2 linked regions of the Saccharomyces cerevisiae S288C genome follow. The main gene of each other region encodes a partner of the protein of the gene in region 2 in a complex. Each region holds a gene or a part of one and is shown on either strand. Other genes may lie near its edges. The genes, in order: MYO2 and SMY1. A codon is read from its position in the direction of its gene.

Region 1 (13,987 bases), on a different chromosome or scaffold from region 2:
TCAACAAGGTTGCTGAACGTGGTGAAAGGCTAACATCCATTGAGGACAAAGCTGATAACTTGGCTATCTCCGCACAAGGATTCAAGAGAGGCGCCAACAGGGTCAGAAAGCAAATGTGGTGGAAAGATCTAAAAATGAGAATGTGTTTATTCTTAGTTGTTATTATTTTACTAGTGGTAATTATCGTTCCTATCGTCGTCCATTTCAGCTAACGCTCATCGGTTCCCGATGCTAATTCTAAAAAATATATACAGTAGTCATAATAGTAATAATAATATAATCATAATTTATAAATTCAGTAAGAAGCAAAATGTAGTTTAATATAGTGTACACTAATACGGCGCGCGGTTAATATCTTCCATAATATCGATTTCATTATCATACTATTGACAAATACTTCTATTATTAATTAACTATGTAGTTTCATTTTTTTTTTTCTCTTTTTTTGTCATTTCTTTTTTTAGCATTCATGTACAATTTTGTTTCTCGCGCCATCAGTTTTAGTGGCCGTCTTGAACGACTTGTTGGGCAACAAGGTCAACTATTCTCTTAGTTGAGGGCAAGGATAACCACGCTGGTATATAGGCTTCTACTTGGTCAAATTTTCTTGTCTTTATCAAACTGAATGGGTCAGTAAATGGACCTGTTTCTGGAGTGATAAATATACTGCTGCTATGCTCGTGACCCTTAGAATCATTACCTGATGAAGATAACGCAGCTTCTTTCTTAACTATATCAGCAACGTATCTTAAGATTTCCTGTGGAATTGGAGACTCATAGTCTGCCACCTGGTATTGTGAAATCAATTTTTGCAATTGTGCAGGTGTTAGCGAATAACAAATTCCTCTTAAGATATCAATGTCTTCGATAGTATACTTACGGACTTGCAGTAGCTTAGCGGTCTGAATCAAATGTTGTAAGCACTCAGTACCATCTGTCAAGCCATGCGTCTTGCACCATTCCTCTAATCTAGTAACGTTGTAGTTCAATTGAAGACCCCTTTTCCACGACAAGAAATTACGTTTCATGATTAATTCGTTAAAACAAATTGCATCCACATAATTCAATAAGGTTGTGACTACAGCATGGAACACTTCATTCTCAATATGAAAAGATTTCATGCACCAGTATATGCTGTTGAAAAAGGTCAAAATGTCGTCCATTGTATATTCTTCAGTGTTAGCAAAAATTTTGTTCAAAAACCCGCTGGTTTCTCCCGCGCTGAAACCTGGTAATGATTCGGAGATGACCACAGCATTGATGGCCTTTTTTTGCAATTGCTTCTGCAATTTCTTCAGCCAAATGTTATATATATTATAACTTAGAGCTTCGAAATCATCCTTTAGTTCTGTGACCAATGAAACATACTCCTTATACTCCTCATCGGTCATGCCGTTTTTGAACGTTTCTTCGGTTAAAATAGAGTTTAGAGCAAACACCACAAATGAGTATAACTCTCTAACGTTTGCTAACCAGAATACACCGCTTGGAATTAAATCGTTACCCTTCAATTGAGTGACAACTTTTTGAATTGTAGTCAATACTTGGGCAAGAAAGCTTTCACTTTGCTTGGTCAGCCCAAATCTCCACATTTCACTTAAAACTATAATCAGTATTCTAGCCGGATAAACAACGTCTCTTTTACTTAGTTGAATAGCTACACCAGCATCCGGTACTTCGAATCCCTTTAACAGGCCTTCCGTGATTTCTTGATTCAAAATTTCAGTGTCCTCCAATAACCTGTATAACTCTTCATTGATTTGTGTAGCATTGACACCATTTTCGCGATCGACACTCAATGAATCAATGTGGTTGTTTCCGGACGATGGAGTAGATCTAGACTTTAGATTCAAATCATTAGGAGATAAGTCGGAATTCTCAAGCATCATATTGTTGAAATTTGAAGCACCGCCTCCCATTACATCCTTTAATGGTGTTTGAGGTAGTACACTAGTAGTAACGGTGCCCAGCGACATGGCAGTTTGTAACCTAGCAATTTCTTCCTTTAAAGATTTAACTTCGTTTTGCAAGTCTCCGTTTAATGTCTGGTATTCAACCAATGTTTTCTTTGTTTGCTCTAATTCTTCAAGTTGCTTTTTAGATTCTTCTTTCAATTCATCATGTTGTTTAACCATGTCCTCCAACTCTAATTGAGCGTCCTTTAGAGTTTGTTCAGTGGATTGCAAATTGTTCTCAATAGTTTTTTGTAATTCCATATCCTTAGATTTCTGATTATCAATATCTATTAAGTGCTCTTTTTTCATATTTTCTAATGTCTCTTGTAACTTGGCACTTTCTTCCACTTGAACCTGTAGTTCTTTAATTCTTTCTGTCATTTCTTTATTTTCTTTGACCTTGGATGCTAGATTCTGCGTCAGTTCAATCACTTTATTCTCTAATTTATAGCTCACTTCTTTCAGATGATTAACTGATTTAGCGTCTGCCTTCAATTGTTTCAATTTCCTTTGAGCAGCTCTTCTTCTGATCAAAGATTGGACAACAACAGTGTCTTTTTTAGTGCGTAAAAATCTCGATCTCGGCTCAAAGGTCCTAACTTTACTTTGAATAGTTACCGCAGCATTATATTCATGTTCTTGTTTCAGTTGTCTTTGTTTTAGTTCCTTTCTAATTTTCTTTTGCAAATTTGTAATTGTTCTCAATACGCTGAACACATTGGCACGGATGGAATGACCCCTGTAAGCGGCCTGTAATAAAGTTGCACAGTTAACTTTCATTTCATCATTAACGCGTTGACGAATGATGAAACCTTTGATGTTGTTCTGCAAATACTTGATGGCCTGAGATATTTGCAAATACTGCTTACGGTAATATTTAGCTCTAATTTTCTTCTGGATCATAACAATTGAATTATGCATCTTATTGCTTCTAAGTTTTTCCAGATATGCAAGCATACCTGCTTTGAAGAAAATTTTTGTATTACCAATCTGGTACTTGGATTTGTCCTTTACAGTAGCATCTAGGATCATTTTAACCACTGATATGATATCTTCTTCTGTAGTTTCCTTTTTTTTGAAGATTAGGTCCCACTGCTCATGTGGTATCAAGATGTAATATCTTAATACAAATTCTTCAAAAGTCCACCTAGAAGGAAACCCAGCACAAGATATTCTAATAGTTTCCAAAACACCACAGGCTCTGAGTTGAGACAACACCATCAAATTATCAAATTGCCAAGCTTCTTTATCTGCATTAGGCTTTATACAACGAATATAATGAACATTAGTTGAGTTGATGGTATTCATTAGTTCAATCAAAGATTGCTTAAACATGGAACCTAAAGTGGGTTTCCTGTTAACCGTTCTTATCGGACCTGGCTTTTTACTGCCAGCCTGCTCTAATTCAAGCTTTTTCGCTTCTTCCAGTTTTTTGGCAGCTTTTTCTAATCCCTCTAAGATATTTATTAGTGTCTCGTTGGTAGAAGCCTTCAACACTTCCAAATGTCCGTCAGATACGGTGTCTCTATTTTTTTCAATAAATCCTTCCACATCATAAGCGACATCTAGAGCATAATGGCTCACGATAAATTTAGTTTGCCCGAATCTTGGTTTAGAAAATACTTTGTTCGTAGGAGATTTATCCAAAGTTTGATAAAGTTTTTGGGTCCAAGATTCGTCGGAACCAGCAGGTAACCTACTTTCTTCGTCAAGCAGTGATAAAATACCCAACTTGTTTTCAATCAGATCAATACAAGGTTGATTATCATTAAACTCTATAAAAGACCATTCAATTTCTTCTTTAACGTATTCTTCTTGCTCTAATTTGAAAACATGTTGGTTGAACTCTTGTTGTAGTTTTTCGTTGGCATAGTTAATACAAAATTGTTCAAATGAATTTTTTTCAAAATGTTCAAACCCATAAATATCCAGAACACCAATAAATGAGCTAATTTGGTCGTTCACAGCCGGGTTGCATAACACGGTGTTGATATTTTCCACAAGCCAATCGAAAAGGGCGGAATAAATAAACTTAGCCACGGAATCTTTGGCAACCAGAGCTTGACTATAATTTAGATTCGAAACAATTTTCTCTGACCTTGTAATGATCTGCTTTTTGGTGACCCATTTGGCAAAGTTGTAGGCATCAATTCCCAGCAATTCGCACGCCAGTTTCAGGTTTGGCTCATCAGCTGATAGTGATGCATCATTTCTAGTTTTTTTAATTTCTATGTTACCGATATGCAGAAGTGCGGCCAAGATCTTAAATATTTGGTGTTGAGTTTCCTTGGTGATTCCGACTAATGTCAATGCATCTACTGTAATTTTGTATTCTTTGGCATCATCAATACCGTTGATCTTGGTGTCACCGCCTTGGTTCATGTAGAAGTAATCTGAGGCATCGGTAAGATGCAATTCCTCCTTGGTTTGAGCTGGTAATCCAGCCATTAATTGATAAAATATGTGGTAGTTTCTCTCAATTGGCGGCTGGTAAACTAATCTGGACCGTTCCAACAAGTATGTGCGGATCCTTGCTCCAATAATAGATGTGTCCTTATCGAATAAAATTTCTAGATACTTACCAAATCTGGAAGAATTGTCATTTCTGGTAGTCTTAGCATTACCAAATGCTTCCATGATAGGGTTTGTAGCTAGAATCTTTTGTTCTGTTTCCGACATTTCCACTTGATGTTGTACAGTAGCGGAATTTTCCTCTTCTACAGAAGCAAAATAACGCATAATATACTTGGCAGAAACCGTTTTTCCAGCACCAGATTCACCACTTACCACAATGGTTTGATTTTGTTTGTCATTTTTCATCAACCTATACGCTTCTTCGGCAATGGCAAACAAGTGAGGTTCCAGTTCACCTCTGCGCTTTCCCGCATATGCTTGGATCATGTCTTGTGTATAAAGCTGGTCGACACGATCAAAAGGGTTTGTAGCAATCAGAACAATACCCGAGTATGTGTAGATATTCAATTGAGAATAGCGCTGTTTGATGGCATGTAAAACAGCTGGCTCATTCAAGTAAGATAAAGAGGTCAAATCTTCCGTTGCTTCCAAAATGGGAGGGTTTCTAAGAAGCGGTAGAGATTGGTCCTTATCGTTATTCAAGTCTTTTGTGTCCACGGACACGATTTCATCGTCTTCCAATTGTAACTCCAGGTGGTACTTGCCGTCGTTGAACTCATTTTTGATTACTTCCGCCCCAATCCAGCCCAATTCTTTATGGGGATACCAGCATCGTGTACCCACTTCAAAAGACATTATACGCTGTAATATCTGCTGTTTTTATGTCCTATATGTACAATGGTATAAGTATCGCTGTCCAATGGAATGGTGTCGAATAGTACCTTAGAAAACAAAAAACAAGCAAGCAGCCAGAAATCGAACGAATAATTTCAAGCGAGAAAAGTGAAATGACTTTGCGAGACTTTTTTGTTCTCTGATTGGCCTTGCAAAGTTGATAGATCTCTGAAACGCAGGCTACGAATCGTATCAAATGAAGGCGTGTTTGGGATTTCTGATATTTGGCTTTTCGAGAAGCGCGATCATAAACAAAAAAAAGGAAAAAATCACAAAATAGCCCTGGGTCGGGTAATAGTTTTTGCCCTACGTTTTCGTAAATGTGTCACTAGGTGCAATTGCCAATAATTAATTGTAACCTACTCAATATCTATTTTAGCCCTACATACGTTAGGGTCGAAAATCTGTTGGGGTTTTGGTTTTAACAGCGTAAACTAAACCAGATAAGCATCGAGAAACGGCGCTTGGCACATCGTATATCAACAAGACAAACCAGTGACCGGAGTTCTGAGGCGTCTTCGAGCCTATTTATTTATTGATCTGGGTCGGATAGTTCACCCTATTTGTGGAGGAAAAGACCTTCCCATATCTAAATTTTTTTTTTTTTTTGGTTTAAGTTATAGTTGATACATTAAGTGAAAATGAACTTGCTAATTGACCGGATGGAGAATCCCGGATCGAGGAACTGTACCCTGTTACCTCCTTCATTCCCAAGAGGCTTTTGTAAGGGAAGAAGGGCTTCCAGTGGCGACGCAGTGAAGATAAAAGAATCCGGTCTACAGCCGCAGCCGCAGCCGGAACCTCTACAAGCTAAAACAAATGTTGCACACTTTTCGAAATCATCTTCTAGATTACCTGTCATAGCAGTGAATGATAATCCGGTGGTCCCAAGACCAAGCACTGAAGTAAACTTGGGATCGTTGTTACAAAAGGAAAGGGAGAAAGAAAAGGAGGAACAGCCTGCGCTGCATGATAGGAGACATTTATATGTGACAAAGAATAGGGCACATGGGGTACGACAACGTTCATTGGAAATGACTAGCTTACCTGTCCTGGGATCGACCAAAACCGGGAAGTTTAGCGATTTTTTGTTTGAAGATGACATCGATAACAGAGTAGGTCGACACAGTAGATCATATAGTGGGGCATCCAGTTTGGATGATCCATTCAGAGTGTCGCCGAAAACCGACTTCAACTCTAATAGGGCCAGATTGTCTTGCCTTAGTAAAGGACGTCGTGGTTCGATGTCCGTTTTCCAAAGCTGTCATACTGGGCTAGCTTTCAATCAAATACAGGGTTCCTCCTCTTCGCAACGTAGATCATCCGCTGGTTCTTTTGATTATGAGAGGAAACGATTGGTTAACCAATTTTTACAGCCTTCTTTGGGAAATTCAGACCCATTTGATACGTTGAGGGAGTCGGTAGTGTTTGAGCCCTCATCCACCGCTGGCGGCATTAAATTAGGGAATATGCATTCTCAATCACAAATTTCCGTAAACTCCTCCCCCAGCACATCTTTGTTTTATCATGATTTGGACGGTTCTGCTGTCAACGATTCTTCGTCATTTCTGTATTCCCGTTCTAATGTACCAGCATTTTTGTCGTCATCAGCCTTTTCGTCCACGTCATCCACCTCATCAGATTCAGAAGATGTGGATAGAAGAAGTTTAAACGGTGTATATCCCTCTTTAGGATATTTGACTAACCAGAGGAAACCAAGGAATTCATCAGGCTCTTCCACTGCACCTGGCACCGATACCTTGGGATTTAAGTATTTACTGAATAGGCAGAAGTCAGCGGATTCTTCCACTAGGTTCAAGAGTGTACTGAAGGTGAACAATAATAATGGCTCCGCAGCCACTCCTGATTCTAGCTCAAACTCTATTTCGAAGAGCAACTCAAATTTGAATGATAACATTGATGAATTGAATTATTATCAAAATCATATTTCGACACTTCTAGTGAAGATCGAGAATGAGATGAGAAGAAATTTAAACGATACAATAATCAAGAATGAAAACAACGTTCAAAAAACTATCCAAAAGTATGATCTTCTATCAGGAGAGTTAACCCTTTTATTAGACGAAATGACCACCTTGCGAACCACGGTGATTAATCAATTCTTGGTCAAGTTGAAATCAGACTTTGACGAGGATGACAATAAGGCGTTTATTAATGAATTAAAGATATCAGTCGAAGAAAGTGTAGCGCAATTACAAGGATTGGAAAGGAGAATGGAGGTTTGCCAAGAGAGATTAAATAAACAAAAGTCCTCTCTAAGGGAAATGGATAGTTTGATAGAGCTGAAAAACGTGTTAAATAAATCGAAGAACAACACGAAATCCATCTACCTGTATAGGTATTTCATCATTGACATTATTGCATTTCTTTTGATGGGCGGCTTTATCGTTTACGTCAAGAATTTGTTAACTCGTTTTTTTACTCGTTAAAAAGTCAAAACAAGGTCACTTTACAAAAATGGTACGCGTACAAAGATAAAATCACCTCTGAACATAATAATATACATCTATATACATATATATATATATATATATCACACATCAATCAACGCGCATGGACATTTGAATCAATGGGGCAGGAAAGGCGATGCAGTGGCCAAATTTCTTTGTTCATTTGTGGCGTTGGGTCAATGAGTCAAAAAATGAAAAAAGTCGACAGACGTTTTTCAAAAAGCTTCAAGAAAAGAAGAGAAAAAGTAAAAGCGTATTGGTAAAAAGAGTAAGAACAAAAAGGAGCACAGGCAACCAATATAAAGATGTCCAGTTCACAACAAATAGCCAAAAATGCCCGTAAAGCAGGGAATATTTTGAAAACCATCTCAAACGAGGGCAGATCAGATATTTTATACAAAATTCACGATGCCCTGAAGGCTAATGCGCATGCCATTGAAGAAGCGAATAAAATCGATTTAGCTGTTGCCAAAGAGACTGGCCTAGCGGATTCTTTATTGAAACGTCTCGACCTATTTAAAGGGGACAAATTTGAAGTTATGTTACAAGGTATTAAGGATGTAGCCGAACTAGAAGACCCTGTTGGCAAGGTTAAAATGGCCAGGGAATTAGATGATGGCTTGACGTTGTACCAAGTAACCGCTCCAGTCGGCGTTTTGTTAGTTATCTTTGAATCCCGTCCAGAAGTTATTGCCAATATTACCGCATTGAGTATCAAGTCTGGTAATGCTGCAATTTTGAAGGGTGGTAAAGAGTCTGTGAACACGTTCAGAGAAATGGCAAAGATCGTTAACGACACCATTGCACAATTCCAAAGTGAGACTGGTGTTCCTGTGGGCTCTGTGCAATTGATCGAAACCAGACAGGATGTTTCCGACTTGTTGGATCAAGATGAGTACATCGACTTAGTTGTTCCTCGTGGTTCCAATGCCTTAGTCAGAAAAATCAAGGACACTACAAAAATTCCCGTGTTGGGTCATGCGGATGGTATCTGCTCAATTTACTTGGATGAAGACGCAGATTTGATTAAGGCAAAAAGAATTAGTTTGGATGCAAAGACTAACTACCCAGCTGGTTGCAACGCTATGGAAACGTTGTTGATTAACCCAAAATTCTCTAAGTGGTGGGAAGTTCTGGAAAACTTAACTTTGGAAGGCGGAGTGACTATCCACGCTACAAAAGATTTGAAAACTGCGTATTTTGATAAACTGAATGAGTTAGGGAAATTGACAGAAGCAATTCAATGCAAAACCGTTGATGCTGATGAGGAGCAAGATTTTGATAAGGAATTTTTATCCTTGGATTTGGCTGCCAAGTTTGTTACATCTACAGAATCGGCCATTCAACATATAAATACACACTCTTCGAGACATACCGACGCTATTGTAACGGAAAATAAAGCAAACGCTGAAAAATTTATGAAGGGTGTCGACTCCTCTGGTGTTTACTGGAATGCATCAACTAGATTTGCCGATGGTTTCAGGTACGGTTTTGGTGCTGAAGTGGGTATTTCTACCTCTAAGATTCACGCCCGTGGTCCAGTTGGCTTGGACGGTCTGGTGAGTTATCAATACCAAATAAGAGGTGACGGCCAGGTTGCTAGTGACTACCTTGGTGCTGGTGGTAACAAAGCTTTTGTTCACAAGGATTTAGATATAAAGACTGTGACATTATAAAAATTTTTAGGATAAAGCTAAGTTCCATGTATGAAGGACGTGTATACATAGTTCAGTAAAGCCATCAAATAAGTACTCTTGTCAACTCATTCTATGGTGTGATAGTTAATTGCTTACTTGTATCGCTATTAACGACTTTTTTTTTCTTTTGGCGGAAGCTTCAAGACAAAAATGCGATTTGAGCTGACTCGAACACTTATTAAACCAGACGGAAAAGCACGACTCATACATATCATAGGCAGTTTTTACTAGGGCTCCGAATACTTTGAATAATAAGGTTGATTAAGTTTGTGTGCTTCATCCAATTAGCTTTCAGTTTTCCTTATTTAAGCTTCTGATTTCGGAATCAAAAGTTGAGCAACGTTATAGCTTGCTTTTTCGGAGGAGAACGCTGTTGTTCACATTTCAACACCAGAAATTGCTGATTTTTACTCCTACTTAGTATACATTTCACTAAACAATACGTTTTACCATGGCATTTTCACGTCTTACATCTACTCATCAGTCCAATCATAACGGCTACAGTAATAGCAACAAAAAAGGACAAAGTCTTCCACTAACCCTTTCTATTGATGTAGAATCACCGCCATGTGTTCTTTATGGGTCTGCTATGGAATCCTCAGGTGCTGTGCTAAGTGGACTTTTTACTGTGACGGTTGTCGATCCCTACAGTAGTGCTGAAGATAAATCTTTAAAGAATACAGAATCTAATGTGTCGACTACTTCTAAAAGCCTAAAAAGAAAGAGTACATTTGGTTCTGCACTTTCATCTAGATTGTCCAGCTTGTCAGCGTCGACGTCAAATATCTCTCCTTCAACATCTTCTACATCCATATCGCATTCTCCCACGCCTGCTAATTTAAGAATAATGGCTGGTTATACCAAGATCACCATTACGTCGGTAACACTAAGTTTGGTACAGAAGATCCATTTCCATAAACCCTTTGTGCCTAATATTTCCTCAATGCAAACCTGTATGAACTGTAAAACAAAGATTACAAACATGAAAAGCTGGGAAATTCAGAGTAATACCCAGGATCTTTCTGTTGGAAGCCACTCTTACCCATTTTCCTATCTTATACCGGGGTCTGTCCCATGTTCTTCATCGCTAGGTGCTACGGCTGAAACCCAGGTCAAATACGAACTTATCGCTGTTGTGACGTATATAGATCCTCATAGAAATTCCTTTTCTTCCGGTCATTCTACTCCCAGGAAAGAAGGAAGCTCTTCTAAGAAGCGGTTGTTGCAACTAGCGATGCCCATCGCCGTGACTCGAAGTATACCGCGCGGGCCTGATAAGAATTCTCTAAGAGTATTTCCTCCTACAGAGTTAACTGCTGCTGCTGTTCTTCCTAATGTTGTATATCCTAAATCTACTTTTCCTTTGGAGATGAAATTAGACGGTGTTTCTTCGGGGGATAGGAGATGGCGAATGCGTAAATTGAGTTGGAGAATTGAAGAAACTACAAGAGTTAAAGCACATGCTTGTCCAGTGCACAAGCATGAATTGAGGCAGTTAGAAGAGCAGGTTAAAATAAAAGAGTCAGAAAAAAGTAAAAAGCCACGCAGTCATATTAAGCGTTATGGTGAACTAGGCCCACAAATCCGGGTTGCAGTAAACTCTTTAGAAAATATGCCGTCGCAAAGGCTTCCAGGCGAGCCCGGTCGTGAACAAGCACCTAATTCTTCGGGTCCAGCGTCAACTGGTAATGTTGGACTTGATGATGAAAATCCTGTTAATGAAGATGAGGAAGACCAACCCGGTAGCGAATTCATCCATCCCAGTGACGACGCTTTGCGTCAGGAGTTACTAATGCAGCAACAACGCGCAAGACAACAACAACTTCAACAAGAGCTAAAAAACAACAGTAGTTTATTTACGGAAGAGGTTCGGATAATATCTAAGGGAGAAATGAAGAGTGGATGGAAAACCGATTTTGACAATAATGGAAAGATTGAGCTAGTTACAGAAATAGATTGTATGGGACTTAATTCAGGCGTCTCTAATCCGGTAATGCATGCATCGACACTACAAACTCCTTCCACGGGCAATAAGAAGCCCAGCATCAATGTGGCTTGCGATATACAGGATCCAAATTTAGGTTTGTATGTAAGCCACATCTTGGCAGTGGAAATAGTTGTTGCAGAAGAAACATTGCAATATGCCAATGGGCAACCTATACGGAAACCAAACTCCAAAAACAAGAAAGAAACTAATAACAATACGATGAATGTTCATAATCCTGATCAACGCTTAGCTGAATTATCTCCAATTTTTGCAAATAGAAATACACCGAAAGTACGGCGCATGGGGCCTGAAGATATAACACCGGTGAATAGTAATAAGTCCAACCATAGTACTAATAAGGAGAAGGCATCTAACGGTGCTAGTAACTCTAATATAGTGAGTGTTCCCACTGGTGCAGCACGTGTTTTAAGAATGCAATTCAGATTAACAGTCACTGAAAGATCTGGACTTGGAATCTCCTGGGACGAAGAAGTTCCTCCCATTTACCAAGATGTCGAGTTGCTCTCGCCACCATGTTACGAGCTCTCTATAAATAATGGAATCAAAAATAAACTTTATTCAACAATGAGTACTCCTGTTAGATCAGAGGATGATTTTGTGGGCGGCAGCGATGAAGATATTGGGAACTATGAGAGCCAAGGGCTCGAACCTGGTCCTAACGTACAGGAAGTAACGATCACACAAAATAAATTAACGATACCACCAACCGCACATCACTACCAGCCTGCTTCCTCTTCGCAAAGATCCCTTACCACAGTACAGTCACCACCACTGGAAAGTGTTGTTAGTGTCCAGGGTAGTGTACCTTTTCGTGGACATGTGTTGACACCACATAGCACAAGAGATATCAGAATACAAAACTTTTCCGATTTTCTAGATTCCAATAGAATAACCCAGTAGATTTTATAATATTCGTTAAAGGTATTTACCATATATTTTTATCTTAGATACCTGAAAACTACAAATCTGATCAATAAGCAAACCCTGACCATGATTTGATGCATTTCACAGATAACTACATACAGGCATTGTTTAACACTTGAGCATTTTTTTTCTCGTATTTTCTTAAGGCTGGACTGGATTAATATCTTCATTTCGTCGTAGGTACATAGCTTTGTTATGATAAAGAAGAAGGCATAAGTCGAAAAAGATATTTCGCGCATCAATTAACATTTTTTGTGTGGTGAAGAAAAGTTTTTGATCATTCTATATATCTATGTGTTACGTATATCTTCAACAATCTGCCACGTAGGTAGCCATGCCAAGTACGCGTAATCATCTACTGGACCATCCATCCCAAAACTAAAAGGAGAGAAATAAAAAAATCCAGCGATCACGATTGATCCGTATACAATATAAGCTCCTAGCCTTAGAAATTTTCCAGTGTTTCTTGTAGCCCAACGTTTGGTAATCATATCGAAGTAGTATGACAAGATCATTAAGGCAAAATAAAGGGTGGGCAGATAGTGGTGAGCGTATACAACTCTTGACATCACTACGAATGGCATATAATGTAAAAGCCAAGCAAGCAATGGATAAAAGGCTGCCATAACGAACACGTCACGTTCGACTGGATCGGATAGGATAACACATTGTCTCTGCCATTTCAGAGTTAAGAATATAACGTGTATTATCAGTGCGCAAACTGCGATGCTTGAGGGCCAGACGGACGCAGGAGATCCTAATAAGAAGTACTTTATAGATTTTTCACTCCATTCGCATAATCTTACCCCGACGTTCAAGGTTGGCCATTGCCAGGCAGATGAAGCTATACCATCAAACTTTTCAGGGTTTGGTACCAAAGCATTATTGGTTGCCATCATTGCTGAATTTAACTGCATGAAATTCCTGAAGAATGAAGTCTTCGGATATACGAAATCTTCTCCCTGTGGCAATCTTTCATTTTCATGTGTTTCGATATTCCACCAGGTTCTCTTATCCCTTTTGGAGGCGTGTTTTAAACAGACAACTTCACCTTGCCTGAAACCCCATTCTGGTAAATGTTTACCTGACTGAGCTAAATAGCAACCCAGTATAGAATTTTTAATACGGAAAGATGTGGATAGCGGGTGTAGTAGTGTTGGATCTTCTTCCCCTACTTGTTCCACGATTTCTATAATCCAGTTATCTTTGTAGTCACCTAAGTCTACATCTCCGTAAGCAGAAACTTCATATTCACTTTTCGATATAGGCGCTGGGACTTCATGGGTGTGTAGATTCTTGCCTGTTAGGCGATGCATTAATCTATACATTTCGCCACCCTTTACAAACTCAATTGTCTTGTTCTCAGCATCAGTCCAAGGCTCTACTCCTCTGATTCTTTGAAAAAACCATTCATTGTTAGCATCACTGTAACCATAGACAGTTACTTGCTGTTGCTCAGAACCTTCTGGGAATGGTTGGACATGAGAATGTAATAAAGCGCCTCCCAACGCTTGATTTTTGATGGAAATAATAGAAGAACCCAAAGCAACATCACGTGGTCCCTTACCAACTTTTGTACCGTTCAGACTGGCTTGAAATAATGATGGCATGGTAGAGTCGCCG
Region 2 (9,890 bases):
TCTTAAATTGTCTTGATCCATTGGATTTGAAAGATGAAACCTTTATCACAGAAATTAAAGAAACATTAAAGTATAGTATCGCGGGAGCAGATACGATTAAAATATGCCAACCCGGCGTCGATTACAGACTTAATTTTGAAAACTTGGCTTCCGGAGCCGGTAATATTTATATCAAGTTCAAGACCTTGGAGGCAGCAAAACACGCAATGGAAGAATTGCCGGGTACGCAATTCAACGATCGCACTGTTCTGTGTACTTATATAGATGAGGACGACTTTGACATGATGGAAGCAACCCAACTTTCCTAAATGGTCTATTTTGTAGAGCGAAATTAAGTAAAGAATTGAGTATTCATTATGTAGATCTAATCTTTAACGCAGTGAAAAAAGTCCTCGTTTTTGGTGACTTTTTTTGTACAATTACTTTTTTGAAATATAACGAAAGTTAGCAGATTGACTACTAACTTGCGATCTGGAAAATTAAGAGAATTCAAACTTTTTTTGTTGCATGGGTCAATAATCATCATTAGAGCTTGCCTTGATCAATTTCCTTCACATTTTTGGAATAACTAACATTATAAATCAAGCCTAGTATAGCGCGCCAAAGAAGATGGCTAAAGATTTATTGCCCAAGCAAGCGGCCAACGAGCCATCGTTAAAGGACTGTACCTGTAAAAGATGTCTTAAATTGGGTGCTTCAAAAGAAAAAAAGATTAGAAGAAAGAAGAAAGGTGAGGAGAAAAGAGAAAGACATTATGGAAATAGACGAAAGTTAACATTCAACTTTTTGAAGCATACGAACATGGAAAATACAAATTACGACGTAATCACTTCGGTTGGATATCTGAATGAAAAATACGGATTGAAAAAATCACATTACATTGAAAAATTTATCAAATGCATCCATAGAAAAATAAATATCGATGTTAGCAAAATTACGGACGCCTATGTAAACTCGCTAAACCCGTGGGTTAAAGTAAAACTCTTCCTTTTATTGGTGACATTGTCTGAAAAGGGTGGTCCGGAATACTGGCTAGATAAGACAGATGGTGAAAAGAACTCAGAGGCGTCTTCAACAGATAATAGTTTGGAAAATTCTACTAAAGGAGCAGATAGCGCTGGATCTACTGCTTTGAGAGATGAAATGGTCAAAAGCCATAAAAACCTTTTCCCAACTCTTACAGAGCAAATCATACAGCATAACATCAACCAAGATTTTACGGAATCGACTTACGACGAGGATTATGTATTTTCGTCAATTTGGGCAAACTTCATGGAAGGACTGATCAATCACTATTTGGAAAAAGTCATTGTACCTTACTCGGAAATGAAAGTCTGTCAGCAATTATACAAGCCTATGATGAAAATTATCTCCCTCTATAACGAATACAATGAGCTTATGGTCAAAAGCGAAAAGAACGGATTCTTGCCTTCTCTACAAGACTCCGAAAATGTCCAAGGTGATAAAGGCGAAAAAGAGAGCAAGGATGATGCCGTTAGCCAAGAAAGACTGGAAAGAGCGCAAAAGCTGTTATGGCAAGCTCGAGAAGATATTCCAAAAACAATTAGCAAAGAATTAACGTTGTTATCAGAAATGTATTCTACATTATCTGCTGATGAGCAAGATTACGAATTAGATGAATTTGTTTGTTGCGCAGAGGAGTACATTGAATTGGAATACCTACCTGCCCTTGTAGATGTCTTGTTTGCTAATTGTGGCACGAACAACTTCTGGAAAATTATGTTGGTGTTGGAACCCTTTTTCTACTACATTGAAGACGTCGGCGGAGATGATGATGAAGATGAAGATAATGTGGACAATAGCGAGGGCGACGAAGAAAGCTTACTTAGCAGGAATGTGGAAGGAGATGATAATGTGGTTGAGCGTCATTTTAAGCCTGATCCAAGGGTCATTACACTGGAAAAAATATGTGAAGTTGCTGCAAGACAGAAATGGATATAAGGAGAAATCAAAGGAAAAGAAGCAAGATCCAGCGTTTTCTTTTGAACCCTGGAGGATGCTGATGCATTCTCTATTTATTTGGTATCAAATTGTCGTACAGATGATTTATATATGTTAATATTGTTCAGTTTACACTAATTTTAATTTACCGTATTTACTATCCAAAGGAGAAAAAAAGAAGTATATGGACTTCAGTATTTATACAATATCGAGTTAAGATAAGTTAAGTAACAAAAAAAACTGGATAGAGTGGTTTTCTATTAGTGTGACGGAAGATAAAAACAGCCCTCTCGAGGAAGGGTGAATGCATACTTCGAAGGGAATCTAATTTTGTTTACTGGTTTTCTTATAAGATGGCAATTCGGTGTACTTGTGATTTTTCATGTTTTTGAATTTCTTCATCTCCGAGAACTTACCCAAAACACGGCGTTTCTTGTTTAAAGCTTTTCTAGTAACATCTGTGAAATCTCTGTTTTTCCCGTTGACATATAAGAAAAAGTACATGAAGACGAAAAATACCACCACGACAGTAGGGATAGATAATGCAACATAATACCACTGATCATTTGTTATACCTGCATCGTCTAAAGCCAGTTGCTCCTTAGTAGGCTTAAACACTTTTGAACCCTTAGTGATGTATAATAAAATACCGTATTGTAGTGGATCGAAATCTTCATCTGATATGTATATTGGCTGAACTGATACAACGATCCTACGATCAAATTGGTCCTGCAGCCATTCATCTCTGACCTCAACCGGCATTAGACCGTTGTCATTATCAATCCATTCGGAAGAGAAAAAAGTTGCAGGGATATCTCTTTTATAATTGCCCTTCTCTACGGGGTTTTCTTTAACATAGGACAAATGAACACGAACCTTATCAGCAACTTTACCGGAATTCTCATCTGTAAAAAATCTTGTATACCAAGTAACGAAGTAAGTCTTGTCAACCTTCCATCTAGAATTCTCATAAGGGGTACAAAATGGCTCACTGCGGATATCCTTTGCTAGACCTTTATTGAAGTAAAGATTAGGAGTACATCTGACAATAGGATTCAGGGAGACGTAGGTGTCATCTTCATCAATATACTCTTCTTCTACAAAAACTTCATTAGGGCCCATATTGTGAGCCTTCAATTCTTCATAAGAATATGTGTGGGAACTTACCGTTTTGAAGTAAGTTGAGTAATCAGGTCTTCCCTTCTTGGTTCGACCTTTGTTGATTTCTGGTTTAATGGTTTTTGGCCTACCATCATGCTCTAAAGATACCCAAGGTTTCAATGGATTTGGTGTTTCTTCTGGTTTTTCAGAAAAAGTGACACCGGCAATGACCGTAGGAGTGACTAATTCTTTTTGACTTCCATAAACCGTACGTAACCAAGGTTTAACTTCTTCTGAAGTAGTCATTTTCTCCTTTGGACGAACGACTTGTCTTGCACCATGAACATGTTGATAAAGCGATGCCAAAGAAAAGAAGATAAGTATACTATCGTGAAATCTCATTATTCCGCAATTCCTTCAGATCCCGCAGAACTGCTTCCGACTATATTGTCTTAACCTTTTTGCTAAAATATTTTGTTCTTCAAAAGTAAAGAATAGCTTGCTGAGAGAAATGCGTCGAATTGCCTTTCTTATTTTTTTCATGATCTTTTATTCCTTTTCAAAATGTCAACGGCAAAATAATATAATTTCGCCCTTTTCCCGAGATAATTTCACAAAAAAAGCCAACGAACAATTCGAAAGGCGTTTAACATGAATATACATATATACCTGTGTATATTCATAAGATATTGAGAAATGAATCCATGAAACTCATACTGCAGTAGTTGTTACGATTTATAATGCTCTATAAATTACATTAAATGCCTTTATATACAATAAAAATGCGCTAAGAGTAGGTGACTTATTTTGAATCAGAAACTTTTTGCTTTGCTACAGCGGCTGCATTAGTGACAACTTCTTGTAACCATGAAAGTTCAATCCTACTAACATTTCTGGCATATCCCTTCGTAGTAAAGACATACTCCGTGTACATTATACCGGGGCAGCTTTTATTCATAAATAGCATAGATGATGGATGAATGCTTATCGGCTCTCCAGTGGAAACAGTTCTATAAGACCTGTCTGGCATCCCTATAGCTGTATTCTTGATAAACCCAGTTAAGAAACACTTTAAAATTTTCGAAATTAGCTCGCCATCTTCACCAATCTTTTTGGATTCTTCATCCTCTTCACTGATTGAAGAAAACAAACGCTTACAATAAACTCTTAACTGGTCTCTGACACGAATTACATTTTTAAACCCACGTATCGAAATACACAATCCTTTACACCAATCATTTCTTTCAGAGCTTGCATCTTGACTTTTCCCTAGTTCGTAGAAATAGATATCAAAAAGCTCTTTCAGCATGATAAGGTCACCATACCTTTTACCAGCGTTGCATAAGGACAAACGACGCTCGTTCACCTCATCTCTTTCTTCTGGTGACGGATTCAACAGTAAATTTTCCACACTAAGGCAAGAGACGATATCAATGACCTGACTCAAACATCCGACTTCACTGGCTTTAATTAAGACACTACTTAAATGCGGTTGTAGCGGTAACAGAGCCATTTGTTGACCCCGTTTAGTTATCTTTCCACGAGTGTCAAGAGCACCCAATTCATAAAGTTCCTGAAGCCCCATTACTATAGCTTCCTTTCCAGGGTTCTCAAACCAGGTCCAGTTTAGCAGGTCATCAACACCATATCTCTTCAACATTAACACAGGAGATGTGACGTCACTTCTGGCTATTTCAGGTTCACTTTGTTTAGGTAATTTCACATAATCAGACTCACAATAAAGCCTGAAACTCTTTCCTTCACTTTCTCTACCAGCACGACCACTTCTCTGCATCGCACTTGCCTGAGAAATGGGTACGGTAAGTAGAGTGGCTAATCCCAGCTGATGTCTCCAAACTTTGACTTTTCGAAGACCAGAATCAACGACAAATTTAACACCGGATATGGTAACAGATGTTTCTGCAATATTGGTACTAAAGACGACTTTTCTCTTGAAACCCTTTATCGGAGCGAAGACCAAGGACTGTTGGACCGCGGGAAGAGCTGCATATAAAGGATAAGGAACTATTAATGGTACTGGGGCCTCATCTGAAACATACTTTGCAATTTTCTCCATTATAGTCACTGCTTTGTCAATCTCTTCTTGGCCCGGTAAAAAACATAAGATATCTCCCAGTTCTTCACCTTGGTTTATTTGTATACAACACCTGATGACAGCGTCTACTATATCATCTGTTGGCGCCTTCAAGTAGTATTGTTTGACATCAAATTTTCTTCCTTCTACAAATAAGATTGGGGCATTATTGAAGAACTCACTAAATTTTTCGGCTTGCAATGTTGCAGACATAACAATTATTCTCAAATCAGGTCTTGGCCCTTGTATCAAGGATTTTAAGAACCCCAATATCAAATCTGTAAGCACAGTTCTTTCATGCGCTTCATCGATAACGATGACGCTGTATTCTCTAAGGTCACTATTCATCATAAGTTCTCTAAGTAACATACCGTCAGTCAGATACTTAAGTCTTGTTCTTGTAGTAGTCGTATTGTCAAATCTGACAGAATAACCTACTTGTTCACCCAGTTTGCAACCATGTTCTTGAGCAACACGTGTAGCCAAATTGATGGCCGCAACACGACGGGGTTGAGTTACAGCAATCGACCCATGCTTCTTCGTATCATATAATTTTTCTAATACGAATTGCGGAATTTGTGTTGATTTACCAGAACCTGTTTCACCAATAAGGACGGTAACGGGATTGCTTTCAATATATGACATTATTTCTCGCTTGTGTTGGTAAACGGGAAGTGTTTCTCTCATTTTGAGTAAATCGCTTGCCCGACTTTTCAAAGATTTATAAGTAAGGACATTTTCCTTGTTCGAACGTTGGTCTGAAACATGGTCGCCCTCGCCTGAATCATTAAACTTTACGATTTTACTAGCTCTTTTAATCCGAGTGTTATTCGTGAATGGATGTATATTCCTCCTAACCTTTTGTTTTTTAGAAGTATGGTTTGATGCAACTCTACTATTGCTATTTGCTGCCATGATAATGTCTGCAGACTCTTGCAACCTCTTCTTGAGGAATTCTTACATATATATCATAACCTCATCTCATCTCATCGAGCAGAATTTTTTATTTTCAATTTTTCTCATTTTTCCAAATCATTGTAAACGAATAGCCGCCGAAGAAAAACGGTAGAAGAAAAGTACATCTTTCAGTCAGCATTATACGTACAAATTATTAGCGTTATCATCATGATTATAATTACAAAGATACTACACAGTTGTATCGTACAATTATCGAACTTAATTATAGTCAGCTTCCAGAAGAGGGACTTTTTGGAGTACTCGAAGTGACTTTTATCGAATGGAGGTTTAATCCCTTCTTGAACGGTCTTGCCACAAAAGACTCCTGTGATCCAGTGGTTGCTATACTGCTAGAAGAAACCTTTCTCGCGCCCCATACTAAAGGTTTTGAGGAAGTATTGGCTGACCAAGGGCTATTTGATATTTCAGAACCCTCCTCGATATGCAACATAGTATTTCCTGATGACGAGCTCATAGACCCTCTTCTAGGAGATGGGATTGCAGATTTATTAAGAGAAAGCTCTTTGACAGAACTTTCCAAAGATTTTATCCTTTCACTGCGTGTTTCAGTAAGTTTAGTGTGAGTTTCTAGTTCACCCTTTAAGATGGCGTTAGTAGTTAAAAGCTCTTGAATCTCTCTTTCCTGAAGCTGAATTTGTTCTAGTAGCCTAACGTTCATAGACTCTAAGGCTTCCTCTTTTGACTTTTTGTATTCTAACTCTTGCTGCAACTTAGAATTGGAATTCATCTGTCGATCAAAAGATAACTCAAGCTGAGCAATCTGTTCGCATCTTTTCGTTAATATTTCAGAAACTTCTTCGTCAATACGATTGTTAGGATCTTCATTGGTAGAACTACTCAATAATTGGGTAATACTGTCTAATTGAAGCTTTAGTTTGATATTTTCTTTCTTTGTATTTTCTAACATTTTTTTCTCGTCGTCTTCGGGAAGAGATTTATTGTGAAGGCTTTTTAAAGAGTCTATTTCAGCCTTTAGTATATTAATTTGGGCAACATAATTATCATCCTTAATTTTCATGTCCTGAATAAATAGATCCATTTTTTTTTTCAGATTTAAACCTGTGGTGTTATCTGTAACCTTGTTATTGATCTGTCTAATACTGTCACCAAATTCTAGTGTTGATAGGGTAGTTGGAACATTACTTAAGAAACATGTCAATATCACCTTTGTTTTCCTATTTCCCCCAAGGGAATCTTTTAACACTTCAGTTAATTGCGATTCACGGTAAGCAGAACTATGTGATCCTTTTGCGCTGTAGGCTGAATCACGCTCTTTCATTGACAAGGACCGCACAGTGTTTTTCAACGCCTCAATAGATTGGTTTAATTTTTTTAACGCATCTTGTGATAGCGTACTTTCAGTTCTTTTATCGAACTTCTCTGCCCCGTGTAAATCAACCAGATATAAAGAACTATTTTTTAATATATCATCTTTTCTATTCCTTTGTTCTACGTGTAATTGAAAAACTAGGTGTGATCTTGATCTCTCTGTCTTGTCGCCACATGCCATCCTATTGCCGACGTTTTGGACTGCCTGAATGTAGCTTCTTAAGTCTTCATACGATCCGACATGTGCCGGACAAATATCTTTGATTTCTAAGTCCATTTTGCTTGAAGAACGGTGAAGCTTTAATGGTTTTCTTTCAGGTAAAGGTACCAATAAGTCATACGTTTTCTCCATATATATTTCGAATGCCAAAACACTTACGCTAAAACTATCTCCCTTTGTTTCTTCATTTTTTTCTAGCGTATCAAACAAGGTCTTGCATATGTTCGGTAGAATTCCTTCGCTTTCTTTTGATCCAATAAGGGAATAGGACTTTCCGCTGAAACTTGGTCCATATGTTATTACAGTACCGTTATAACCATTCAAAACATCATTTATTATTGGATGCACCAGAAATTTCTGAACATCTTCTTGAGTGGCGTTAGCATCGAATACCTTATCGAATTGAAATGTTGAATGGGTCTCCTTGGTTGTCTCATGTAACGGATTGTTTGTGCGAAATAGCACAGTATTTTCATATGGGTCTATTTTGAAGGTCGACTCATTGTTTTGTAATCCTTTTTCGGGTATCGCCCTGAGGATAACTTCGATGTGACAGGGTTCACTGCTGTCTAGAGTTGGTAACGATACAGAAGAGCTACTTTGCTCTTTCGAAATTATATTCCAGTGCATTTTAACAAGTTTGCACCTACCCTGAATGATAATTTTTTCTGGTTTAAAGTCGACCTGTAGTGCTTAATAAACCCCCTACTAGTGCTAAATCCTGTAGATTTCCGTGCCAATTTTTCTATTTTTATTTTTCTTTTTTTGATTTTTTTTTTTTTTTAATTTCCATTTTTTTAACTTCCACCTCTTTCCTTGTTAACCATAAATAAGGAAGGATTGGAACTCAACGACAAAATTGAAAAATGTCTAATCGTTCATCAAAAGCATATTTTATCGGATTATGTTCCATTACTATTCAAACATTCACAATCACAGTGTATTATCTCTATGAATAAAAAAGTTGAAAATTCTAAAAAAAAAACAGAAATATATATTAATCTAAGTTAGTATTATAAATCGATTATAAATTGATTATATACATCACAAATGGTTCATACTCTGTGTCGACAAGAGAAGCATATTGGTGAAGAGAAGTATCTTGCTTGTTAATTTTCCCTTTTTTATCCTTCATGAAGGCATTGCCACCAAGAAATCCAAAAGCATCAATTAATTCAGACTTGCATTTAGAGAGATTCTTTGGTGGGACAGCTATAATCTTGATGTTAAAGTGAGGTGGCAACCCGTAACGCAAAACAGATTCCACGTAAACTCTCAAGGCCTTGATGTGGAACCAATTTATAAAAACATCGACATAAGCTGTCTTGGCCAATCTTACCAACTGGACGCGCAAAGATTGTTCTAAACTGGCAGCAGAGTCATGCTCTTTTTTCAACTGGTCAATTAATTCCTCCGAGTAGTTAAATTCACGAGGAATGAATTTCTTCTCTCTAGCAGCTGTTGTGAATTCTTGAACGTTTTTCTTGAACAAATGAACATTGAACAAAACATACTCAGCATCCTCTGCAATCACGCTGGCAGATGCTGGTACAACGTTCTTGGATAAAGTTTCGTACGATTTTTCGAAATCGGATTTTAAACTTTTGGGAACTGCTACTAGAACAGTAGTTAAATGTTCAGAATTAAGAACGAAGTCTTCGGGCTTGACAATATCATGCAAGGATCTGACAGAAAGGTCACCCGTCTTCTTTCTCTCAGCAGCAGCCAAGTTAGTTTTAGCGCTGTTGTAATTTGCATAAGTAGCTCTGACGTCGGCGTCTAATTGAGAAGATTCATTAGAAATCAATGTTATCAAATCTTTGATAGACTTATCTAACTTGAACTTTCTGGTTTGCCATTGAAAATTTTCCAAGTATTCAGGAACTGGCATATTATTGATAGGTAAAGTCCTGTAAGCATTGGTGCTGGTCTCGTTGAGGCCTTGAAGAATTTCAATGATTTTGCCAATAGAAGCCCCAATTTGGTTATCTACTTTAGACAGTTCTTCCGATTCAACTATCAATGTGTCTAAAGAGCCAATTTTGAATTCGGGAATTTTGAAATCAGAAACAAATGCCCTACCCCCGATTAAGGTCTCATTGAACCATGAATCAGTTTTGGAGCCAGGGGCGGTAACAGGTTGAGCATTTTGAGGCAACGAGATTAATATGAAATCGTTTGCAGTATATAACGCAGTAGCCATTT

What was found.
Region 1: the proteins of SMY1 (region 2) and MYO2 are in contact, whole or in part, in a crystal structure (PDB 6IXQ), measured with the Saccharomyces cerevisiae proteins. Residues at the interface, in NP_012844.1 of Saccharomyces cerevisiae: Phe633 (codon at 6,419), Lys634 (codon at 6,416), Lys635 (codon at 6,413), Gly636 (codon at 6,410), Leu637 (codon at 6,407), Asn638 (codon at 6,404), Leu639 (codon at 6,401), His640 (codon at 6,398), Ser641 (codon at 6,395), Ile642 (codon at 6,392), Lys643 (codon at 6,389), Val644 (codon at 6,386), Thr645 (codon at 6,383); in NP_014971.1 of Saccharomyces cerevisiae: Ile1207 (codon at 1,607), Ser1210 (codon at 1,598), Glu1211 (codon at 1,595), Trp1213 (codon at 1,589), Arg1214 (codon at 1,586), Phe1261 (codon at 1,445), Phe1264 (codon at 1,436), Ala1265 (codon at 1,433), Ser1268 (codon at 1,424), Ile1269 (codon at 1,421), Phe1275 (codon at 1,403), Gly1278 (codon at 1,394), Met1279 (codon at 1,391), Thr1280 (codon at 1,388), Glu1283 (codon at 1,379), Tyr1287 (codon at 1,367), Phe1542 (codon at 602), Gln1544 (codon at 596), Val1545 (codon at 593), Glu1546 (codon at 590), Ala1547 (codon at 587), Val1565 (codon at 533), Ala1566 (codon at 530), Val1569 (codon at 521), Val1570 (codon at 518).

Annotation. Positions count from the first base shown.
Region 1 is NC_001147.6:916,959-930,945, reverse strand, and holds MYO2 (myosin 2), read right to left. Parts: upstream 5,226-13,987; coding exon 501-5,225; downstream 1-500. Other genes in the region: SNAP receptor SNC2, read left to right, coding at 1-212; FRT1 (Frt1p), read left to right, coding at 5,906-7,714; PRO2 (glutamate-5-semialdehyde dehydrogenase), read left to right, coding at 8,041-9,411; LDB19 (Ldb19p), read left to right, coding at 9,884-12,340; dolichyl-phosphate-mannose-protein mannosyltransferase PMT3, read right to left, coding at 12,655-13,987. UniProt on the Saccharomyces cerevisiae protein: Myosin heavy chain that is required for the cell cycle-regulated transport of various organelles and proteins for their segregation.
Region 2 is NC_001143.9:285,028-294,917, reverse strand, and holds SMY1 (Smy1p), read right to left. Parts: upstream 8,316-9,890; coding exon 6,345-8,315; downstream 1-6,344. Other genes in the region: MUD2 (Mud2p), read left to right, coding at 1-308; AAN1 (Aan1p), read left to right, coding at 610-1,962; PSG1 (Psg1p), read right to left, coding at 2,287-3,465; DHR2 (RNA helicase), read right to left, coding at 3,866-6,073; VMA5 (H(+)-transporting V1 sector ATPase subunit C), read right to left, coding at 8,710-9,888. UniProt on the Saccharomyces cerevisiae protein: Possible microtubule-based motor that can interact or substitute with myosin 2 (MYO2).